Linked DNA regions of Saccharomyces cerevisiae S288C. The protein of the gene in region 2 purifies or fractionates together with the protein of the main gene of each other region. This does not show direct contact. Each region holds a gene or a part of one and is shown on either strand. Other genes may lie near its edges.

What was found.
Region 1: the proteins of PRE4 (region 2) and PRE5 purify together in Saccharomyces cerevisiae (affinity purification with mass spectrometry; 3 studies listed by BioGRID). This does not show direct contact.
Region 3: the proteins of PRE4 (region 2) and FUB1 purify together in Saccharomyces cerevisiae (affinity purification with mass spectrometry; 2 studies listed by BioGRID). This does not show direct contact.

What each region holds. Positions count from the first base shown.
Region 1 is NC_001145.3:899,552-903,640, reverse strand, and holds PRE5 (proteasome core particle subunit alpha 6), read right to left. Parts: upstream 1,933-4,089; coding exon 1,228-1,932; downstream 1-1,227. Other genes in the region: YMR315W (uncharacterized protein), read right to left, coding at 1-841; TGL3 (bifunctional triglyceride lipase/lysophosphatidylethanolamine acyltransferase), read left to right, coding at 2,334-4,089. UniProt on the Saccharomyces cerevisiae protein: The proteasome degrades poly-ubiquitinated proteins in the cytoplasm and in the nucleus. It is essential for the regulated turnover of proteins and for the removal of misfolded proteins.
Region 2 is NC_001138.5:247,440-251,388, forward strand, and holds PRE4 (proteasome core particle subunit beta 7), read right to left. Parts: upstream 2,428-3,949; coding exon 1,627-2,427; downstream 1-1,626. Other genes in the region: RMD8 (Rmd8p), read left to right, coding at 1-695; alpha-ketoglutarate dehydrogenase subunit KGD4, read left to right, coding at 1,084-1,455; RET2 (coatomer subunit delta), read right to left, coding at 2,724-3,949. UniProt on the Saccharomyces cerevisiae protein: Non-catalytic component of the proteasome which degrades poly-ubiquitinated proteins in the cytoplasm and in the nucleus. It is essential for the regulated turnover of proteins and for the removal of misfolded proteins.
Region 3 is NC_001135.5:247,667-251,834, forward strand, and holds FUB1 (Fub1p), read right to left. Parts: upstream 2,380-4,168; coding exon 1,627-2,379; downstream 1-1,626. Other genes in the region: SOL2 (Sol2p), read left to right, coding at 1-244; cystinosin-like protein ERS1, read right to left, coding at 367-1,149; EGO2 (Ego2p), read left to right, coding at 1,309-1,536; deadenylation-dependent mRNA-decapping factor PAT1, read right to left, coding at 2,572-4,168. UniProt on the Saccharomyces cerevisiae protein: Plays a role in the establishment of transcriptional silencing boundaries, preventing the propagation of heterochromatic silencing.

The DNA.
Region 1 (4,089 bases), on a different chromosome or scaffold from region 2:
TATCTTCAGCTGAACCCCCTAATTTGACTTTTACAACGGGGTCTTTTTTGTCTGATAAGTCAACGGTAACGGTACCATTCTTACCATAGACTTTCAAGAAAACCGACTTTTCGGTAGCACCAAAGGCAGACCCATAAGTAAAACTTCCGATAACCTCTTTATTTTTCAACTGGACAGTAGCAAAGACAATATCATCTGCACCGGAACGTTCACGCACCTGTCTCGTTAATGCAGAAACAGATCCAAATTCACCGAGTAGGGAAATAACGAGAGCTAATTGGTGGACACCACCATCAGATAGAAATCCGCCAATGTGCTCTGGTTTTTGTCTCCAGGTTGTGGTCAAATATTTATTTTGAGTAACAAATGGACCGGTAGAATTGTGGGTGAATGCTACTACAGGACCAATTTTCTCGATCTGCTCCTTTGCGATTTTAATACATGGTAAATATAACCAATTTTCAGCCACACCAACGGGCAATGGGGTGGATTCTGCTATCTTGACAATCTCCTTTGCTTGGTCTAAGTTGGCCGCAATTGGTTTTTCCAAAATAACTGGCTTACCTGCTTTAACTGCCTTCTCGACAATATCAGCATTAAATTGAGCAGGTAGCAAAGCGTCAATGTAGTCGACATGAGGGTCATTCAAAATTTCATCTAGATTGTCGTAAACCTTATTTTCAGGTATGTCAGCAACCTTTGCAAAATCCAAAGCTTTTGCCTTATGTCTGTTGAAGGCGGCAATGACTTTGAATTTGTCAGGAAATTCCTGGTAGGATGGGAGATGTCTATCTCTGGCAAAAATACCTGTACCAACTATACCGACGTTCAATGGGGACATTTTTGGCTATTACTTTACTTTTTGGAACCAAGAAGTGATTATGGGTCTATTCGATGTACAGAAACAAATAGGTTTGAGCGAGTTCGAAAGTTTATCCAGAATAAGTAGTTCTTTTTATAGACGAACACCTATGTATTGTGATACATAATCATGCTGAATTTTCAACAGGGGATAACTCCGTTTATTCCCCGGCGGAGGGCGGAATTAAGCGGGGTTATTAGTTGATTTGGAAGCCACGTCTTTTTTAATTTTGAATGAGAAGTGAGACTACGTACTAAGTTAATCTATTATTATCTTTATATGTAAAAAAACCCCGACCGTGGTGAAAGGCTTCTTTGGTCTTGCTTTGACAATTGCTTAGTGGAAACGATACTTTGTGTCCAGACCTAGATGTATTTAGCAACAGCTTCTCCATCGTAAATTGTAAAAGGCGTATCCTTACCCACGATGGCGATTGAAAGATTGTCTACAGTCAAGGATTCGTCCCTTAGAGACTGGCTGATAGCCTCGACGCCAGCTTTGATTAGTTCATCCGGGTTCCCGTCAATTTTTATAAACGTGTCTAAAGTTCTCTCTAGATAAGTCTTTGCCCCTTGGCTTCTTGCGCCAATAGCTGTACCATATAGTTCTGTGACATTTCCGGAAGGTTGGAATTCTAAAAGATGAGCACCGCTCTTGTCATACCCGATGATCAACAAACCAACACCGTAGGGTCTGCCCCCATAGGATTGTGTATTTTTCTGTGCTTTATCGCAAAGCAAATGACCTGCTCTCTCGACGGCAAGCTTTCTGTTAAAAACTAAGCTGGAGTAATTACACTGTTGTCTCAAATAATTACTTAAAACTCTAGCATCTGGAGCCAACCCGGCTAACGAGAGCCCCATGTGCTCGTCACATTTGATGATTTTTTTCTGGTATGATGACAATTCGTCTGCATTTCTTTTCAACGCTACTAAAACAGCATGAGTGTTCGAACGTAACCCCACAGTGACGCTCCCTTGTTTAATAGCTTCCAAGGCGTATTCCACTTGGAACAGACGGCCTGTAGGAGAAAAAGTGACTGTGTCCCCGTCGTAATTGTTCCTGAACATGTTTTGTAAATATATGAAGGCTTAGTTCAATGTATTCTTACCCACTTCTCTTGAACTTCAATTGATCACCACGTCTACCTAAATGTAGTGGCGTCTTGGTTCTTTTCCATACTTTGACGATACTTTTGAATTTTTAATTTTGCCACTCTATAATAGGGTATGTTCTTTATAGGTCATTTTTACTTTTTTAGTAGGGCATTTTAATAAATACTAGGTTTTTAGTAATTTCGGAGATACTTATCCTAGGTCTGAAAATTCAACCCTAACCCTTTTTTTCTTATGTTTTTTTTTTTCTGGGTAGCAGCTAATAGAAATTAGTACTGATTACATAGAGAAGTACTATGACACAATAGTAAGGGAATCATCTATTCATATATCACATCTTTGAGTTGCCGTTAAGCATGAAGGAAACGGCGCAGGAATACAAGGTGTCTGCTGTAATACCGACCCTTTTGAAAAACTGGATACTGCGTGTAGTGTATGCCACATTGGACCATATACCTCCTTTTGTGTGGGAAATTCTACATGTCATCACCGATATTTATTTCTTCTGGGTTCAAAAGCTGATTAACTATGTGCGGCCACACTCAAGAGTCATTTATTATAACGCTATTAAGAAGTTAGATGAGTGTGATACGTATCAAATGTGGTGTCAGCAAGCGTCCGTAGTGGATGAAATAACAGGCGCAAATTTATGGCGGCGGAATTTCTTTTCGAGGAGGTACGACTTCAATTCTGTCATTGAACAATATAGCATATTGGAAAATATGTTAAGGGAGGAGAAGTATGATGTAGTTAAGGAGAAGTTTTCGACTACAGGCCCTTGTATGTTGAGGAACTTTGCGGGTATTGGAGATAAAAAGTTGTTCACAAAATCTTTGATGGGTACAAAGCTACTTATTGAACAATATTTGACCCGAATTCTAGAAGGCTTGGATATATTAAATAATCAAACTTTAACTCCAACATCCTTTTTCCAAAGATGTAAGTTGTCACTGGGCACAACAGCATTAATCTTGCAAGGTGGTTCATTGTTTGGGCTGTTTCACCTTGGGGTGATTAGAGGTTTATTGTTACAGGACCTGATGCCTAATATTATAAGTGGTAGCTCTATGGGGGCATGCGTTGCAAGTTTATTCGGTTGCTTGTCCAATGAGCAACTAAAGCAATTATTGACCGATGACAACCTCTTGAATATCATCAAGAATGATGTAGATTTATTAAAAAGCTGTGGATACGGTAATTTAGAGCAGCACCTAAACCTGGGGACTTTGATTCAGAACCTAATACACCACGGTTATTCTCAAGACGTTTATCTTTTTATCCGGTTTGTTATGAAATATATTGTTAAGGAAAAAACTTTTGAAGAAGTTTATCAAATTACTGGAAAAGTTTTCAATATTGTTATTCATCCAACTGATAAATCATGCCCTAATTTACTAAATTATGTGACAACCCCAAACGTATTAATCAAGTCAGCCATTGAATGCTCACTTGGTTCTGGTGTAATTTCAGAGGATACATCACTATTATGTAAAAATTTAGAAAATGAAATTGAGCCTTTTCTTAACATCAATAAAAATAAACAAGTCAAATTTCTTACCCCAGAAAATGCCAACAATCCGAGCATAACGGAGAGCCCCTATACTAGGTTAACGGAACTATTCAATGTTAATAACTTCATTGTTTCTTTGGCGAGACCATACTTGGCACCATTGGTGGTAAATGATTTGAAGCATGAAATAAAAACGTCAAAATATTACTATTATAAGCATTATCCAAATATGCCTCCTATAAACGCGAATACAGTAAGAAAAACACAGAGATCCTCTTCGCAATCACCCATAAAGGCAGGAACTGTCGAGGATCTTGAGCCAGAGCCTTTAATGAGCCCTGTGCCCCCAAGTTCGGCAGTCAACGATTCAGCAGAGTACATAATCCCAGAATTGGGCATACCGCAGTTGAACTTTACTGAAATGGAACCGCTGGCGTTTAAATTTAAGTATCATCTGGAAAGAAAATTAAAAAATATTGCCACTATGGAATTTCGACATAGGATGGAGGTATTGGATAATTTAGGCCTGTTGTGCTCATTAATAAAAAGACTAATAATTGATGAAAAGACTCCCAGATCAGCTACGGAGATTGCTGTGGTAC
Region 2 (3,949 bases):
ATGGCGTTATTGTTTTTTGGAACTTTACTGAAATTCAAGAGAAAAATATTCTTGGTGATATAACATTTGCAGATTATAAGAATTTAATGATCCGGCCGCTGGATGAACAAGATATTGAAACTGAACAATTCCATTTCGAATATGACAGAGATACCGAGAGACCGAGAATTTTCAATGATATTGTCACATTACGTTCAGGTGACCACATTATCGAGCTGACACTATCACATGCGATTGCGCAATCTTCGAAATTATCAAGGTTTGAATCCAGAATTTCGCCGATTTTAATATCAGTCACAAAACTACCTAAAAGACTAGCATTATATGGTACCCTTGGGTTAAAAAGGGAACAGCTTTTGAAAAAATCAGGGAAGCTCTTTAAATTGAGAGTGGATGTTAACCTTTCATCCACCATATTGGATACACCCGAGTTTTTTTGGTCGTTCGAACCAAGTTTGCATCCACTGTACGTGGCAATGAGGGAGTATTTAGAAATTGACCAAAGAGTACAAGTATTAAATGATCGTTGCAAAGTTTTCTTGGAATTCTTTGATATATGCGTTGACTCTGTTGCTGAAAGAAACATGGCTCGTGTTACATGGTGGTTTATTCTTGTCATTTTATTTGGAGTTATATTTTCATTAACAGAGATTTTCGTTCGTTATGTAATTATTCATCGTCATACTTCTACATAGATATTCATACACCCTTCTAGACGGCATTAAAAATAAATTAATGATATATTTAGTTATCAAGGTTTTTAGTCATATATTTCACCGTTATTACCATTCTTGGTCACGTGCAAGTAAAACCACTCGTTGATTGGCTCCCCTCAAGATTGCATTAAAAGTACAATAATATGACTAAGGGACTCGAATATGTAAATTCATCTTTCGCATCAACAAAGGAGAAAAAGACGATAGTGAAGACTAATATTTTAGCCAGATTGCAGTGTTTCAGTGATCTTAAAAGTCTTTTTCATTTCTAGCCGCATTGAATTCTTTAAAGCAAACCATTAAGGAGTACTTCCCCAGGTTTTTAACCGATAATAAGAGTAAGATAAAAGTACAAGAAGACAGGGAAATGATTGCTACACCTATAAGATTAGCAAAGAGTGCATATGAGCCGATGATAAAATTCGTCGGTACAAGGCATCCCTTAGTGAAGCATGCAACTGAGGTCGTTGTTCATCCTTGCGCTACCAACGGAATGTTACCTGGCAGCAAAGAGTGTATTCCAGTGAGTAAATTCATGGAAAATTATAAACCATTCCGTGTAGTGCCAATAAAGCATAGCGCTAATGCTGGTCTCAGCTCGTCAAAGACCTCTGTATTCGTTAACAGGCCATTGCAAAAAGATGAGCTTGCTTCCATTTTCGAGCTACCTGCTAGGTTTCGGTACAAACCTATTAACGAGCATGAATTGGAGAGCATAAATAGCGGTGGTGCATGGTGAAGGATAGATGCAGTAATATTATGATTTTTTTTTGTTATTTTATAGTTTCTTTACACATATCATTATATCTATGTAAAAACGTAGTTACTTAGGAAGAGAGAAGAGTGATGATATTATGAATTGAAAAATAAAAATAAAATGAGTATTTAATGAAGGTGGGATAAAACTCTTCTAAATTTTTTGAGTACCGTAGCCTTTAATATCCTTGGCGAAGTCCCATTTCATGTTTTCAACTTGCAAGTTTTTCTTGAAAGTTAAACCTGTGTTCTTATCAATTATGGCCAGTGAGAAGTTTCTAGAAGAACGGGCATCTCTATAATAAAGAACTCTCATTGCATTTACGATCGCCTCTTCAGCAACCTGTACAGTGGTCTTTGGAATATCAGATTCTCGATCTACAACTTTCCTTAACAGTGGGTTTGCCATGTGTGCCCCAAAACCTGTGGCCAAGGTGGGAGACGAATACGTAACACCTAGAAGATTTACGTATCTTAGGAATTGATCACCATTAGACTGTACACCAGCAACAATGATGGCATTCCAAAGTGGATTCATCTTTGATCTTCGCTGGTACATGACGGTAGCTAGATATTCAAAAATATAGCTGGGTTCGAGCGCTTCTTCAGCATCCGCTAGAGGATTGTCATACGCATTTTCAGTGACTAGATCTTTCAATAATCTCTCAATGTGTTGCATATCAGAAATATCACCTGAAATGCCCACAACGGTGTTATCACCCACGGGAATAAGCCTCTCCACGCCATTGAATCTTAGAAGAGAGCCATATGAACCTAAATTATCTGCTGCAATGATAACCCCATTATCATATTTCATTGATATGACGGAAGTACCTGTTACTATTGGTTGCTGTGTATTAACCATGGGAGAGGCGCCTGCGTTCGCAATTTGTGTATTGTAAGCACCATAAGTAGAGTCTGCGGGCCTGCCCCAACTGAAAGGATCGTGATTCATTCGTGTGGGTTTTTATGTTGTTTTCGGCGGAAGATGAAGGATTCCTGCTGCTTATCCCCTTTCTTAACTTAGCTGTACTTTACTATGTGGGTACGTATTTAAGGTGGCAAATTCTAAACCAAGAAGCTGGAACATCTTTAATAAAAAGGATTGACGGGTAACCCTAAAAGGAAAAATAATAAAGAATAAGAGTAAGTTAAACTATATATATAGAAGGACGAAAGAAAAGATACCTCGATTTTTATTTATTTAGTTTGTGTATATAACTTAAGTATTTTATATGTGAATGTAACGTACTATTGGACAAGATATTCATCTGATTTCAAAGAGGTGATGACGTCGTAAGGGAGCTCTTGATCGTGGTCATTGGCCATGACAACAGATTGTATGGCCATACCGGTGAAACTCTTAGCTAATTTATCCCTCGTGGACTCTTGGAAGGAAACGGTCATTGGGTACAATGCATCTTCATATGGAGCTTCGATAGTGAATGCTAGCGCACCTGCATCGTTGGCAGCAATTTTGCTAATCTTAATGGAGGTTCCCATTTCTTGGTCCATGTTGACAACTTCAGCGTCAGAGCATGTAGAAGACTCTGTATTTATGTCTACTGGCTCCTGAGGGAAAACTGGAATGGTGAAGATCACATCAGCGAGTTCTGTTTCCAGGACGCTCTCATACTCAATAATGACATCAAAGCCCTGTTGTGATTCGGAGGGGGAAACCCATGTAGTTAGAGTTAATGGAATTAATGAGTCATCTTCTGCGGGAGCGACTTTACGCCATCTTAGAACACCCAGGCTTTGGTCGTTGGCTGGGAAAGCCTTAGATTTATCACGCAGGGAGATAAGTTTAGTGGATAGGAACGATTGTTTATCTATGTTTGGATGGGTCTTAAACTGGAAGGATTTATCGCGAACGTCAATAGAATCAGCTAGTTTTAGGTTCGAGTGAGATAAGTCATGGTCATTAATTCTTAGTTCTAAAACACCTTTCAATTCAGAAGAGTGAATGGTACCATCTCTGGAGAATTCTGCATTGATTACCTCCTTGATAGAGATCAAAATACCATTGTTCTCTGGGACATCCTCCTCCGGAGGAGGTGGAGTGCCAGAAGAGGCTGAAGAAATTGCACTTGGCCGTGGTGCGGCACCCGCTCTTCTTCCGGCACCACCACCCAATTTCATACCGCCAGTAGCAGAATGTCCCGCACGCTGAGACGTAGCCATTGGGGAGGCCACTGGGGCCACCTCAGCAGCAGCGGCATGGGAACTTTGTAGATAAGACTGTTGTGCTGCAGGAGAAGCATGGGAGTAGTAACTGTTGATGGCGTTTGTAACGTTAGGATCTTTACTTCCCATGAACCTATTGGCGCCGTCGTAATCGCCATTTGAAGACATAAACCCGTGTTTCCTTTCATGTTCTTTTCTAGCAATTTCCTTAGCACGGCGCTTCCTCTCCTCAGTAGCTTCGATCTCTTTATTACGCTCAATAATTTCCTGGATTCTTTCTTCGTGCGACT
Region 3 (4,168 bases), on a different chromosome or scaffold from region 2:
GACCAGAATTTCGCTGACTATACCTGTAATCTGCCATTCTCACAGGGTTACTTTCGTTGTCGAAGGTGCAACCAAGGCGCCCATCATCAAGACCATTATGGAAAGGCCTGAAAAGGGCCTACCTAGCAGTATTGTCAACGAAGGTGCTGCTGGTCGTGTATCATGGTTTGTTGACGACGATGCTCTTACGGACGTCCTCGTCACCAAAAAAAAGTATAAATTCCACCAAGGTTTGTCTATTTAAACCATGCATGTGTGTACATACATACATACACACATACATACATACATACATATATTTATGTATATTTATGTATATATATATATATATATATATGCGTAATTATGCAGATTTCTCCTTGTGTGCTACAGCGGGTACTCTGACGCCAGATCATGGCCTCGAGATCGATATACAAACCACTGCATGATAAAGATGAAGTTGAATATTAAAGTTACCATTGACAGTCCCACTTTTCCAAAATTTGTCACGAACGTATCCAGACTGAAACCTTGATCGTTAGACAACTGCCAAATCAATTGGAGCAGCGAGGCGATACCGCCAGTGACATCTAGAAACACACCCTGAATGGGGAAACAATCCATAGATTTTCTTGTCGAGTTATGCGTCACTTGTGGGATGTACTTGATTAGTGACATCGATATTTTGAGTAAAAACAAATTGTTGCAATACGCCAGAGTTCTTGAGTTATGCCAATCGTACCAGTAGTTGGAGTACATAAATTGTACGGTTAGCAGTGAAAAAATGGCCAGTGATGCGAGTAAAATCCTTAGGTACCATGGATTCATCTTGCGGTGACCTTTACCTGGAAATCGCCAGATTCTCGCTCCAGCTACCACCTGGGTCAATAAGACAACATTCATCAAGCACCCATGCAGGCAATACCAGAAATCAAATTGCGTCAACTTGGGCCTGCCCAAGTCAGACTCATCACCCGTCATTTTCCAGCAGTACAATTGCAAAAATATGGATATGACCAGGTAAGAGTAACCTGCCGTATTTAACATGACAAAATCCATCGATATCGCGCTCGCTGACTTATGGCGCCAATTGGTGATTATCGGTGGATACATCGATATCGACCATGACGTAACATACACGATACCTAGTATATCGTCTAACGACACCATTTTGCTTCGCGTTTGCTTTTGTTTGCTTTTAGTTTTTCTTCCCTTGTTTACATATGGAAACTCACCTTAAAATTTCAAGATTATCAAAAAATATAAAGGATTCCGCTATTAAAGGGCAATACCACAACCTCAAACCAAATCACCTAAACCAAATCAAAGATGGAAGCGGAAAAACAATCTGATATTAAGGGAACCATTGCTTTCGATACTCACGGTAACGTTATAGAGTCTACCGGCGTGGGCAGTCAAAGGATCGAAGATATCGGTGATTTATCGAAAGTTACGCTGGATGCAGAAGGTTTTGCTCAAGTTCAAGGAGATTCGCTACTCGTACACCTGTACAAACGCAATGATATCACTTTAGCTGTATATACCAGCGCTCAATAAATTCTTTCCTTCCCTTTCGACATAGCTATGTCTGTATACTATCTAAAAACTAAATATCACAATAAACAAAGTACTAAAATAAACACCCATTTAAATAAAGCCAGATCCTGACCCTCCAAATCCGCCGGATCCTGAACCTCCAAATCCGCCAGATCCAGGACCAAATGGTTCGTCGTACTTGGATCCAGGCATCCATCCTGGCGGCATATCTTCCCGTCTTGGGGCAGGTCTTCTATTTGGATCGAAAATCATACCGCCTTGGCTACTTGGATTCCCCAGAGGATTGGGAAGCCCTCCAGACCAATCCGGATGGCTTGTGCCAACAGGATACAGATCACCATCCGCATACCCTCCTGCTGGGTTAGCGAAGCTCGGTTCAGTTACCGTAAGTCCGGGATATGGGTTCAACGGTGCTGTTCCCTGGTTTTGTCTTGCTTGTGCCTGGTACTCATCGTCAAATTTTGGCATGTCCGCACTACCTGCAGTTTGTCTTTTAAGTTGTGTCATTATAGGTTTCAGGTCTGGCTCCACAGGTAAGCTTTCTCTTTCTAGTGGCCATTTCAATTCTGTGGGCAATTTAAAATCGCTGTAACCCACCACACATGCCATGGTGATCGACGTACCATGACGAATAACAACAGTATACTTGTCATTGTCATCCAGAGTCTGAATCACCACTAGCTCAGAGAGAAACGATGTTGAACCCTTCTCACTGGGAGAATCTTTAATGCGAAAACTCACTTGGCATGATTTGGTTCCCTCTGTATGGCGTGACACCACCTCAGTTTTACCGATGGACTCCAACACTAGTTCTGCTACCAGTTCAACCTTATTCTCAATCATTGTTTAACTCTTGCGTTACTATGGTGGTATTATTGATGCTAATACGGGTTTTTTATGAAAAAAAAAGGATAACAAACTTATATAAACTTATATAAAAACATATACAATAAATGATCTACAAAGGGTAGGAAATAAAAAATAAGGGAGAAAAAAAAATACATGCGTAAGTACATTAAAATTACAGGAAAAATCTTACTTTAGTTCTGATATTTCACCATCGCGATACACCAACCCCATAACGTTTAGGAACAAATTCAAATCTTGGTATAGTTTCTCTTTATTATAAATAATAGATTTTAACTCTGTGTCTAATTCTTGAGACCTCTGAGGTAATACACTCAATTCTTTCTCTTTCTTTTGTAAGGTCTCCGCCTCGTTAATAGTGGCAAAGATTTCATCACGTACTTCATCAATAATGATTCTCTGGTGGTTTAGCTTTCCACTTAGTGCTAAACTAGCTAGGAACTGCCAAATGTATGCTTCATCCATAAACTTGTCATTTTGTAAACGCATGATGTGGTCGTTATATTCCCTTGGAGGGAAAATCAGCTGAATCTTACTTTCCAATGAAGTGAATAATTTATCATAAATCTCATTCCATGTGGAGATTTCAGGAGAGGAAAGAATATTAGATCTTGATGAATCTTGCTTGATTAATGCGGCACGAGAAATCAAAATGGTGATCAAATTTAGACCAATTTTGGAGGTGGTCAAGAACGAAACGTTGTTGTTTCTGATTAACTGTAGCAACAGACCCATAATTTCGATAAAATTGGAGTTATTAGACAAAAACGAGACAATGATCTTTAATATGATCATTTGGAACAGATCGACTTTCTTCAATTGTGTCAAAGTTGGTTTTGGTGTAGTCTTGTAGGAACTCAATATGATGATTTGCAAGTGTGATAATTCATTGAAGATTTTTTGCAGGATTTTCAATTTTTGCTGCTTATCCAAGAAATTAAAAATTCTAGGCATAATCTTGATACCTTTATCAAATGATAGCATCGAAATGAAAGGGTTTACGTCATATGAACTGTCGTCGATGTGAAGGGCCTCCCACATTGCAGTGCTGTCAGTTTGCTGGCCATTCCTCAAGTTAGCTTCCAAGTCTAAAATCTCTTCATAAACTGTTTCAATTAACTCAAGAATGAATTTTTTGCCCCCAGATTTGTTCAAATTTGTGGCACCATTACCGTTGTTGAACGCGTATGAAGATCTTCTTCTTTGCTTAGAAGCAACAGCAGCGGCAGAAGAGCCCGTAGAGGAGGACCCTGAAGAGGCCAAGTCCACGTTGGTCAGAGAGTCAGTGACGTCTTTTAGCGCATCGGGGTCAGAAGGCTGTTGTCTGGGGATCTGCAGTTGTCTTCTTGGATTCTTGCTGTTCAAAGTGGAAGAGATTTTGCCCAGAACCGTGTTTGCTTGCTTATTATCCTGGCTAGAGTTACCAGCAGCCGCTTGTTGATCCTTCAACTTAGAAGGTCTTTCCTTAGCCACAGTGACAGCCTTTTCTACTTGACTTTGCATTCTCTGTAGGGCAATATCGGTTCTCTTATAGCGACCACCGAGTCTGTGTCCAGAATGTTCCAAATACGCCCTAGCAATCAAACCTTTGTTGGATTCGGACGTGATACCGCCTCTTTGGATAATCTTGTAGACCTGGAAGTAGAAATCCTCATTGTAAGGGTCCTCAGTGACAATTTGAGACAACTGATATCTGGTGATGAAGTCCTTATCACGAGGAGTCATTAAACCTGAGTATTTCAAGATTTTCTCCACTTTGGCATGA